2 linked regions of the Drosophila melanogaster genome follow. The protein of the gene in region 1 interacts with the protein of each later gene in a biochemical or structural test. Each region holds a gene or a part of one and is shown on either strand. Other genes may lie near its edges.

Evidence for each region. The genes of interacting proteins can lie anywhere in the genome.
Region 2: the proteins of Sema1a (region 1) and PlexA form a complex in vitro, tested with the Drosophila melanogaster proteins (2 studies listed by BioGRID).

What each region holds. Positions count from the first base shown.
Region 1 is NT_033779.5:8,540,100-8,546,307, forward strand, and holds the start of Sema1a (semaphorin 1a), read left to right. Parts: upstream 1-2,047; 5' UTR 2,048-2,113; intron 2,114-3,113; exon of another isoform or gene 3,114-3,616; intron 3,617-4,444; 5' UTR 4,445-5,134; intron 5,135-6,208. Other genes in the region: CG17834 (uncharacterized protein), read left to right, coding at 359-1,137. UniProt on the Drosophila melanogaster protein: Involved in growth cone guidance through its role in axonal repulsion. Function in neurons is essential for adult survival, motor neuron survival, and is important for climbing behavior and activity.
Region 2 is NC_004353.4:1,023,034-1,029,445, reverse strand, and holds the start of PlexA (plexin A), read left to right. Parts: upstream 1-2,344; 5' UTR 2,345-2,483; exon of another isoform or gene 2,484-2,676; intron 2,677-2,910; exon of another isoform or gene 2,911-3,230; intron 3,231-5,765; 5' UTR 5,766-5,974; coding exon 5,975-6,412. Other genes in the region: mitochondrial inner membrane protein MPV17, read left to right, coding at 197-703.

The sequences.
Region 1 (6,208 bases):
AGAGTACAGAAATATTAAGTCAAAAGAAGGCAAGACTAATAATCTATTAAATTTACTATAAAACTTAACTAGTAAGTTCCGCCTCTAAAATTTCCATTTTAGCCAAAGTCGAGGGCTAGTTATTATCTGCACATATCTTTCCTATCTGCCATGAACTCAACCGTTATCTTGTTTGCCAACCTTTTATGCGTCTTACAATGGCATCTACTTTTCCAACTCTTCCAAAGATAATATTGTCCTCTCTGGCAGCTGGCTAATTAGGGTACAATGAAATCAGGACAATATCTCTAAATAATATGGGTTTAGTTACTTGCAAATGCAGAACACTTTTTAAACGGAGTATATCTTCTTTTTGCAGGAGATGCCACTGATGCGAGAACAGGATCGACCGAGAAGCGAATCACCTTCACCCTGGCTCCCAGTTCGGCCGAATGCTCGCCGTCGGGTAGCCAAACGACACTTACTCCCAAAAAGTTCGAGGCCATTGCCGAGGAGGAGAAGGAGGACGACAAGGCCGATGAGGAGGAGGAGATCATGGAGGAGGTGGTGCTGCGACCTCGCCTCATCGACCGGCATCCTCATCTGCTGGCCAACCCCAGTGGACTGACGACCACGCCCAAACGGATCCTGCGATCCGCCAAGAGCGTTCCGCACATGAATGTCCGTTCGTCGGCCAGTGAGACGGATATATTCTCCATTAGCGGTACGATGACCGGAAGCAGTCAGATCAGCATGACGCCGGAGGTGCCATCGATATCGTTCAGTAATCTGCCTAAGAACTACGAGGACACGCCCACTATTGAGAAGTACCGGGTATCGCAGAGTCTCTATTCCATTCAAACGGCGAATGCTGCTCGGGCCACACAGGATGATTACTCCATGCCGCGCTACTTCCGTCGATCTGCCATGCTATTGACCCAGAGCTCTGAGGTGCTGCCCGGCGCCAGTTCACTGGCCTCCATGTCGCCATCGATGGCCTCGTCCTCTGCCTCGCCCGGGTCCTCCAAGGACGAACTGCGACGGCCAGAGAAGGAGAAGAGCAAACGACTCCAGATGCTGCGTGGCAATCTACCGCCCTTACTTATTCATTCCGTGTCCTTCAAACGAAATCGCGACGAGGGCAAGCAGGTTGACTAGTCGCACTGCAGATATACATATTTATTTGTTAATCACTTTGTCCATGTTTTTAATGTTTTAAATTTATTAGCCTTTAGTACCTGCTTATGCGTTTTCTGTATTATCTTCTAAGCAATGACCTTGTCCAAACAATTCCTCAGTATTCAGATGTACTTCATTTTGAATTAATGATTGATATTACAAAATAAATTGTATTTTACCACAAAAAACAGCGATTAAAGATCCTACTTAATAAATCTTTATAAAAATCTAAACGATATCTATTTGTACCATTTTAAAAGAAATAAATGCGAGCTTGAAAAAAAATGCACTTATCTCCCCGACGGGGAATTGAACCCCGGTCTCCCGCGTGACAGGCGGGGATACTAACCACTATACTATCGAGGATGTTATACAAAGTGAGTCAAACTCGGGTTTTCCGTTTGCGGAGTGTGAATGCTTGTTTCAATTTCATCTGTTCCCCATTTGTACTCTGAAGACAGTGTGCAAGCTCGAGACGGTTGTTTGACAGTGGGTAGACAACATCCTCGATAGTATAGTGGTTAGTATCCCCGCCTGTCACGCGGGAGACCGGGGTTCAATTCCCCGTCGGGGAGAGATGTAAAAATTACTTTTTGTTGATTGTTTTAATTTATTAATTTAATTTTTTAATTTTTTAATTTCAAAATTTAAGTAATGCAATACATGTTTCAGACCAACAAATTAAAATAAAAAATTGCACCATATAGCTTAAAAAAACGTCAAACATGTATATTTAATTAGGTCATCCTGGAAGTGATATATAATGAAACACATTTCAACGGGTATATAAGTTTTGTTAAGGGGTAACTGTAAGCCGGACCCATTTAGCTTACCACCCAATATGGTAGCACTGGCTGTAGAAATTCCCAATGGCAACGCTAGTCGACCAGTTTTCATTCGTATTGGCGTGTGTGTTGTTTGTACAACAAAACATTCTAGTTGTTTTATTTGCAAGGTGCTCATATAAAAACATAAACAATATATTTCGTAGAGTGCCCTAATAATTTATTAAGTTGTGAATTAAACAAATATGAATAAGAAGCGTGTCCAAGTGAATTGGTTAAATTGTAAATTATAAATAAAGCAATACATATAAACGGCCGGCAAAACAGAGAGCGCGTTTTAAGAGAGAACCTAATAGGAAAAGAGTGTAGAGCTGCCAGGTTTCAATTAGGTACCAGGTACCAAACGTATTTATTATTCGAGAAGAACTATTTTTGGTGACTAAATATGGTTTCTGATTATAGAAGTGTTCTCCTAATATATAATTTTTAAAAATTTTTTTCTACACGTGCCCTCAGATTGTTGATATTCAAAATTCGTACACAAACGCCCTTGACAGGCGCAGTCTCACCCGCGCCCACTGAGAGCGGAACGACGGAAATTTCAAACATTATTTCTATTTTCTATTTGAATTGAAACTATGTATTTTCCATAATTTTCAAAATATTCTTGATTTTTTTTGAATAACTAAATTAATTATTTTAAGTATCGCGAGGGAGAATAAGAGTTTAAAGCGGCCGATTATATTGAGGGGGAGTTTCAGTCAACGAAAAGGAAATAGTGAGAGGAGAGGGCTTATTGAAGAGAGCCTCTCATTTTAAAATTTCTCTTTAAGCGTGTTCCTTCTAAAGGACACAAGAAACTAATATGTTTATGAAATAAGAAACTTAACCGTGTATGTGTTTTCCAATTTTGCGTGAACAAATAAAAGAGCTCAAGCATTTTATCGTTTGAGTAATTTTAGATAAAAATTTATTAATATTTTTTAATGTTTTCAATTTGCCATAGACAACATTTTTTCCAATAAAATTCGGTAATATAAATAACATGGTGTTATGGCCTGCAATTTTTATATAAATTTTTAGTAGCACGCTCTTAGTTTAATATTTAGGTCAATAAAATAATTATCCTTATTGTTTTTTTTTTTAATTTGCATATTGTTTGTTGACCAGCTGTTAAGAGAAGAGAGGAGAGAGAAAAAGAGAACCGAAAAAGTGACCGTTCGCGACTTCGCAGTCAGCGCTGGAAAACGCACTAACGCGCGGAAAATGCCCTAGCGCCAGAGAAAGTGCCATTTGAGACTGAACTCTCTTTCGTGCGAGTTCCCTTTTCATTCGAAAATTTAACGCCCGCGCTGCTGCAGCGCGTTGTTGCTCCGGTTGGAAAATATCTGAAAACAGCATTAATAAATAAACAAAAATATTGGATAAATCGCCGGTAGAAACGCTGCATAAAACGAAATTTGGTTTCTTGTAAAATATTATTTTTCAAGATATTTTCTTGTTAATTTCCGGATATTCGACAAGGATATAAATGTTTCTTTCGCGTTGATAAACAAATTCCAGCACCGCTACCTTTGTGTCGCGCAATTGTGAAAAGTGATTTGTCCATTGTGTACATTAATTAATAAATTGGTAATTGCTCAATTTAGAAACATGTGCAATCGAGAGCTAGTGTGAGTGTTTGTGTGCAACAATAATAAAGCCGAAAATTGCCCAATTGCAATTGGCAATCACAACAAAATTGGAATATTATGGCACATTAGAAAAAGAAAATAACGAAAACTGTGTTTCCACCCAAAGTTTAGGCCGCAGCAGAGCGAATCCACAAAAATATACAATTTCGGCAATTTTTCCACATATTTTTCATTGATTTTTCGCCATCCTGCGGGTGTGAGCAAGAGGGCGAGAGAGTTGAAAGGAGAGCCAGGCTTTTGTATTCTGTTTTGGGTACGTTTTGGGAATGAAACGGTCCTGGCTCTCGCTAACCCACCCTCCCTCTCTCTTTGGGATTATCCTTTTTATATTTTGTTTATTTCTCTATTTTCCTGGCCACGTTTTGTGCACCATTCGTTTCGCTGCATTTCATTCTCGCGGCGTTTCAAATTGACTCAGAGAGAGTGAGAGTAAGAGTGGGAGAGAGCAGCACTCTCTTATTCTTCTTCCTCAAACTCACGCACCCCCCGCATAATGTTTTTCGACTCTGCCTTGTGCCCCCCATTCGCATCTCTCCGCAGCGCGTTGCCAACCAAAAAAAGAAAACTAAAGTACTGTTGTCATAATAAGAAATTTATCAGGAAAAAAGTTGAATTACAAAGTGTTTCAATTGATATTTCTTGATCATTTCTTCATCAAATCGTGTTTCATATCGTAGCAAATATTAATTTTAATTCAAAAAGCCCTACATGCCAGATATTTGTGTTCAAGATAAGCTCTTCCTGCGGCCATAACTTTTGATTGGGAAACTGAAATCTAATCCAGTTTTCCTTCTCCCATTTCCACAGTATTTAAGCCAGAAACAAAGTGAATAAGGCAAATTTGAATAAAGAAAAAGAATAAACCAAGAAAATATGCTCAGAAATCGCATCCGTAGCCTACTTATCGCATGAAGAACCGGTACCGTTAAGGGATAATCGCCGTCGCGTTAATTCGACTCCTGCACCGCACCGCCCCGCCCCCCCGTTCGTCGTTTCGTCTATTCATATATCCGATATAACCGTTATCGCGCCCGTGCATCTGCGTCTGCATCTGTGTGCGTGAGTCCTTGTATCCTCTGTACATATGTACAATATTTGTCGTCGTCGTCGTCGTGCATCGTTGTTGTTGTTCTTGCTGTTATCCTATTATTCATCGTCGTCCGCTGGCATTAATCTGCGTATAAAGTAAATATAACAAATTTGTGTTCTTCGGTGTTGTCTCGTGTAAGTGTCTATAATTTGTTTAAGTACGACAAGCGATCGGTGCGAATCAAAAAATTCCAATTCACCAGTCTGTGTGTGCGAATCGATAATCGAGCTATCAGAACAACCACAACAACAACAACAGCCCAATCAATCGATCAATGTCAGCAAACAAACGATAAACAGGACTCGCTGGGACTAATCAATTGCGTAATCTTCAGAATATTTTGGATTCCAACGTCTACGGAGTTTCAACTTTTGAACAATTCATTTTGCTGGACAGTTTTTGGAAAGGTACGTTTAGAAATAAATATCTTATTAAATATAGTAAGAGCAATCCAAGTGTCGCATTTTTATAAACATAGTCATTTGGATTAAGATTAATCGCAGGAAATGGTGGAGTTAATTTTCTGGAAAATCAGAACGTATTTTATGCCAGATACATTGGGATGTTCGAAAATGCATTAACACTGGGTCTTGTTGCCTTCAGCTCCCAAAATTGTTGTTTTTTTTCAAGGGTTAAGTGGATGCACATCGGTCGTGCCGGGAAATATCTATATTTAGCGCACGTATTGTCCTTTGGCCACGTTCTAGGATAAGGAAGGACATACCTTGGTAGGGTCAGCAAAAGTCGTTCTCGATATTTGCGTACGCCACACACACGACTGCTTGAGTGCGAAGGGTGTGGGCATTGGACGAGACTCATTAGGACAAACCGAAAATGGTTGAAATGCACTTTTGCAGACAGATACGGAATATACCCTCGGACACACAGCAGGAGATATCGGAGCTCAGACAGAGATACAAAACGGAGCGATTTCCATTTGAAATGTAAACAAAGCACGCTGATACCCCGGCACAGTGGAGCAGATGATTGGACGGTCGGGAAAACAAAGGCGAACCAAACACTTAAGATACGGCTACAGTGGGAACCACAGAAAAGGGACACCGACAACAAGTGATTTGGAAATGTTGATAAAAATGTGGTAGCTATTAAGTAAAAACATAAAGATGCCAGTTTGAACAATTTCTTTGCCAAGTTCTTAGGTTGCATTTGAATAACTAAAACTTTATTTATTTTAATACCCAAAAGAGGGGTTTTTAAATTGGTTATCAGATCTTTTTATTTGTTTTGATAAATTTAAACTGGTACACTTCATATGAAGTATTTTTTATGTGCTCAATCCCTTAAGCGCCTACTCATTGACACGCAAGCTGAAAAAATTGAATATTCCACTCGGGAATCTGATTTAGTTCTGCTTCACCCGCATTTATGTCTGCATTACTTAACCGATTTCACAGCTGTAATCTGTTTCTTTTCCTATCTGTGATTGCCTCTTTTTTACTCTCGTTTTGTGATACATTTTC
Region 2 (6,412 bases), on another chromosome or scaffold:
AGCATAATTTAATTTAAATAATTATTCAGAGTTGCCAATTTTTGTCACTTCAGCAATTGACACCAATCACTTTGCGATTATTAGGCAACCCTTTAAAACTACACGAACAACAGCAAATCGATTTCTCAGTTGTGTTTTAATTGCGTATTTAAAACAATTTGGATCGGGCTATGAATGGAACTGATCTCTGATAAGGATGAAGAGACTTAAAGCGTACCTAAAGGATGGCATCAATGTGGCGGCGGTAATGTGTCTGGGCGATACTATATCCCAGTTCTTTTTTGATAAGAAATCGTTGGACGAATGGGATGCGGGGCGAACCCTCCGTTTCGGCATCGTTGGACTGGTGTTCGTTGGCCCAACTTTGCGCCGGTGGTACCATTTTTTGGAGTCCCGGGTTCCCAAAACCTACTCGCCAATGCGGCGGGGCGTTACCAAAATGCTGGTCGACCAGACCCTTTTTGCGCCACCCTTTACCATGGCCATGTCTTTTTTGGTGCCACTCTCCAACGGAGAGCCCATCGACCGAATCCGGCAGCGCATTCTTGATAGCTACCTATCTATATTGGTCCGCAACTATATGCTCTGGCCGGCCGCACAGATGCTAAACTTCAGATTCGTGCCGCTGGGCTACCAGGTGCTCTACGCCCAGTTCATCGCCCTCGTATGGAACTGCTACCTCTCCATGATACTTAATAGCTAGGGCACTAAGTTCCCCGCATAAGTAATACGGTGCCTGTGTATCAAATTTAACAAATACATTATTATCCTTATCTCGACATGTGACTTCGGACTGGATTTGGTTGTCGTTTTTTTAGGGGTATTCGGCGGAAAGGCTGTACATATAGAATGGAATTTATAGTATACATGTATTATAGGCACTCGAGTTTTAATCCTACAAAGCACTTCAAAAAATTTTGCTTGAAATCTTATTTCCCTCCGTTATTAGTCGGTTGGGCATGTGCTTCTCAAAATATTTACTCGATCATTTAAATTTGAATTGGATAAGCAAGATTGTATCATAACGACGTCACGCCCAATCTAACGCCCACAATTTCTGTGGGCGTTGTGTTGTTATTTTGTTTTCATTTAATTATCTGTCATGATATTGACATACCACAAAAATTTTGCCACACCCAAACTGTTATGCCCACTCTTAAGAATTATTTTTCGATTTTATTTTATAAATTCTCTTGGCTGTTTCTATCGATTTGCCAAACGTATTTTAGCCACGCCCACTGTTCCCACTATCTGAATAACGGGTAAACCTTTTATTTCTGACATTTTAAGGCAGATTGTGGGAGGTAGGGTTAAACAACAAACGTTCTGCAACAATCTTGAAAAATGTGGCGTCACTTGAATCTACATGCTCTGAGCTCTCTAGAGTTCATAGTTCCGAAAATATCAATTCTCCATAAGTTTGTTCCTTTCTACATTTCTATTTTACGATTTAGGGGAATAAACTTTTGAAAAGTGCGTCAACGGTATCTTCTGACAGTTTCCCACAAGTTGTTGATATCCTGTTGTTTAACGTGAGATAGACGATTTATGGATAGAATTTACCTTAGTAGCGCCAAAAATACCGCAAACTGCGCACGCACGAAGCTGAGAATGTAAGCAGCCAATAGTGGAATACACTTCATGTGTACATGTGCAAATAAACACCCTGCAATTCAATTCATTTAACTTTTATCTATATGTCATTTCTTAGAAAAAATCTCTATTGCTAATCAGCCCTCAAAACAGTGAAATTATTGATTATTTTTTTTTCTTACTAACTAACTAAGTCTCTAACTACATGGTCATAACAACAATGCTTTAAATCAGATGTGTAAATATGCACATCTGCAGTCGGTGTCAGTTGAAGATATTTCAATAGGTCATAAAATGTGCACAAAGGCCAACAAAAAAAAGTTGTGCCATGAAATTTTAAATAACAAAATTATGCTTTGATACAGTTTGCGCACATATTTGCTGTGGATTGAGGAGCTGTTAGCATGAAATTCTTAAGTCCAATTTTTCAATTTACATTTTCATTGTGAACAGACCTTTATAGTCTCATCACACTATCGATATTAAAGAAAACGAATATATTAAATATATTTATTTCATTTTTTAATAATGCTCAAGGAAATTAGAGAGATAATAAATATTATCTGGCTTGGGAATCAAACCCCTTCCAAATTACTTTCGTACGAGTCATTACACAGTAACAACAAGACATTTTCCATGTACTCGTGAACATTACATTTTGAAGTGTGCCATCGGTTAATTTAGGTATCGATAGTGATAGGTATGAACGGGTCTTAGGACTAACAACTAGTTGTTTAATTCTCTCCTCTGCCTTATAGTATCGATAACATTTACATACAATGATGTGTAAATTAAAGTGTGGTGTAATTCGAAAATAGACAGAAATTATGTTCAGTGACTTGCGATGTAAAGAAATAATAGTTAATGAGTGAAATATAGGAAAACAAACAGTAAGCCGGATTTCCGATTGTTCACTAGAAAACTATCGCCGTTCCATAATTCAGATATACATACAAAATTGTCATTTTTTGCTAAATATTAAAAAAAGTGTAATAAAATCATTTAACGTTCCAGTGTATATTGCATTGCTTTAGAATTATTAAGAAAATACAAATTTTCTTTAACTGGTATACAACGTTGTATGTATGTAAAAATTAAAAACGGCCATGCAATCATTTTGTTTTATGTACTTAAGTATATATTATATTTATGTAAATAGTATTTTTAAAAAGTGTGGCTCTTATTTAAATACATTGTTAGCTGCGTTTCACACATACGAAATTAAATGCATCATGCATTGGGAAAGATAGCAGCAAAATAAAATTTGCTGTATATGATGTGCATGTGTATGCATATAAATATATACATTTTGTATAGATGTGTGTGCACCAGAATATCCCAAAAATTCCAAATGCAAAAGATCGAGTTTTACTTCTCTCAATAATCTTTGCCTAAAAACATTTAAACTAAGTGCACTTACATTTTACCGGTTTATTATATGTATTTAAATTCGGGCGCTGGCCAAATTTGTATGTATGTATGTGCAGTATGCATATATGCATTTGCAATGAAATTACCAAATATTGTGCACGCTCGCCCAAATTTGAAATCCTGGAATAGCCGTGAATATACTTTAAAACTACATAAATTCTCTATAACGAAATGGCTTGGAATAAGTGGCCTGAGTGCGAATATATGTAAGTGGAAAAAAATTGAACGTTTGGAACTGAATTTGTTCAAAGTTTTACAATTAATGTGTTAGGTAGAGGAAATTTTTTATTGCAAAAACGAGATATGCTTATATAGCATACATAGGAAACTCCTTAGCTTGGGATTTCCATTCCATTAATATTTATAGCATGATATGGATTCATGTTTAATATATATGTACAGTTGCGGTCAACATATTAGCGGCAGTAGCGGAATATATTTTGGTCGGTTATAGTCCTATTCGGAGACAGTAAATGGTAGAGCACGTTGGTTCATGAATTATGCTTTGGGTGAGATTTTCATATTAAGGAGTTGAGCCAGTATATCTGAAGCTCCATCTTCAGTTCCGTCACCGGGTTCTTGCTTTGCCGAACCAAGCGCTTGGATGCTTGGAGAGCATCCAAGTTGGACATTGAAGGCTTTCCTCGCCGCGTTTCGTTCTTTTCGACAAACAGCAGTGATTTGCGGATCATTTTGTTTGAACAACCGACAATGCGACCAATTTCAGCGTAGGTTTTACCTTCAGAGATCACGTTTTTAATCAAATTTCTTTTTTCGACGGTACAATGCTTTCCGTGACCCATGACTAGAGAATTTTTGGTCTTCGTTTGGAGCAAATTCAATTAAAACCTTTAATGCAACACCTTTTTTTCAAAATTTGTCGTAAAAAAAACCAAAGCAATCACTCCCATTAATTTTATTCAGCAAATACGTTTTCAGTGCTATTTTTGTTACCGCCTCATTTCGCGCACTTTTGCAGCAAGTGCCCAAAAACAAAAAGAACCGTTAAATTGAGAGACTAAAAATTTATTGCTCAAAGAGGCAACATATGGTACTTATTATTCATGCAATCTGGCTTAAAAAAAAAAAAATTTATAATTTTTTTTAGGATATCAATTTTCCACCTGCAGTAGTGCTATTATTTTAACCTTAACTGTAGTTTCAAAACTATTTGTACGACATCATTTTAAACTATGCGATAAACTACCCATGTTTCAGGGAAGTACACTTACAGCCAACCCACAGTTTTTGTTTTGACGTGATTAAATTTTTAAACTGAGTTTTTTTGGCTGTGAAGATTTTCAAAATTACGATTTATTGGGTGTTCACGAAATACATTTATAATCTATATGTAACAGCATTTCAATGTTTGGTGATCCACACAAATAGAATTCGAAAGAATACTATAGTCGAGTTCCCCGACTCAGATACCCGTAACTCAGCTAGTGTGAATGCGAACGCGAAATTGCTTTATTTTTCTGGGATATCAATATTAAGGAATAAAATGAGAAAAAATTTAAAATTTGTTTTAAAATGTGAGCGTGGCAGTTTTGCGCGGTTTTAGGGCGTTAGAGTGGGCGTGGCAACATAGGTTAACAAACTTTCGCTCCGTATTTGTCTTTAGAATCTGTATGCTGAATCTCAACCTTTTAGCTGATATATACAGCTGTGTTCATAAAAATAGCAGTGCTTGGGACTTGCGAGTTTAGGATAAAAAATCATATGATTTAAAGTTGTAATGGGAATTTTTTTCATAATTTTATTATTATATCAAACAATTCAACATATGTTTCACTTTTATTTTTTCAATAGATATAGATTAAAACAACATAATAGGCAGAAATTCTGGTGTTCACTGAAATAGCAGTGATATGAAAAAATAGTAACAACATGACTTAGAACTAACATAGTTTTTTTTTAATGTGTTAATTAGGGACTAATACCTGGTTGGATTGCCTTTTTTAGCCAGCACAGCCTTACACCTACTCGGCATGGAGTCCACGAGGACGTTTGGGGGAATTTTTGCCCATGCATCCTGCACAACTTGCCAAAGCTGAATCTTGGACATCGGGGAATTCTTCGACACGTATTGTTTAATGTCCCCCCACAGGTTTTCAATCGGGTTTAAATCGGATGATGGTGCTTGCCACGGCATTGCATCTATTCTATTTTGGGTGAACTTATTCTTAGCCGATTTGCTTCTGCGTTTCGGATCATTATCCTATTGGAATGTCCATTATAAGGGCATATTCCATTCAGCATATGGCAGTAAAACATCACTAGGTATATTTACATACCATTAATCATATGTATGGGACCCACACCGTTGTATGAAAAACAGGCCCATACCATATTTATGTCCACCGTGCTTAACATTCTTGAGTGTGTGGCTTGGGTTGTACTCGGTCTTTGGAGGTCGTTGGACATACTGTCGTGAACCAGTTCCAGTTCATATTTTTGACTCATCAGTCCAAAGGATATTAAGCCATTTGGAGACTGGACAGTTTCTGTAGGTTTTAGCGAAGTTTAACCTTGCGTTCATTCGTACATGGCCAGATCGACTCGGCTATTGATCCTGATCAAGAATATATTTTCTTTATATGGTCGGAAACGCCTACTTCTGCCAGTTAAATAATTATCAACGAATCTAGTATACCCTTTACTCTACGAGTAACGGGTATATATATATATATATATATATATATATATATATATAACTACTTTCCTTATTGTTTTTTCAGGTTTACATGATGGTCATACAAGTTATTGCTCCAAGTTAAATTATCTTGAATGGAACGGATAATAAAAATTGCAAGAATGACACCAACGCAAAGGAAATTTTAATATTTACGTAAAATTTCAAATAAATAAGGGACATACAAGCGCCTACAAGTAACAATTTCATAAATAAGGTAGCTTTGATAGTCCTGTTTAAGGAGCGATTGTGGAGATGAATTTTGTTCTTAGTGTGTTGTTAATAGCAATTCTTAAAGATAAGTATGATTACTGGCTGCCATCGAGGACAGGTTGTCAAACCCTGGCAGCAAATATATGGTCTGACAAGACGACTGCGCAAAATGAGCCGATAAATTTGACTAATGCAAATGCACCGATAAAGAATGCAAAGAATCTGAATTCTACGATTACAAATGTAGCTGCGTTTGACACCAAATTGAATCACCTATTAGTGGACACCATTACTGGACGAGTCTTCGTTGGTGGTGTTAACAGGTTGTATCAGTTGTCGCCTGATTTGGAGCTTTCCGAAACTGTGAAAACGGGGCCTCAAAATGATTCCGTCGAGTGTAGCATTCTTGATTGTCCATTAAATGCAGTTCGCAGTCCGACGGACAATTATAATAAGGTCTTGCTCATTGATCGTGCAACT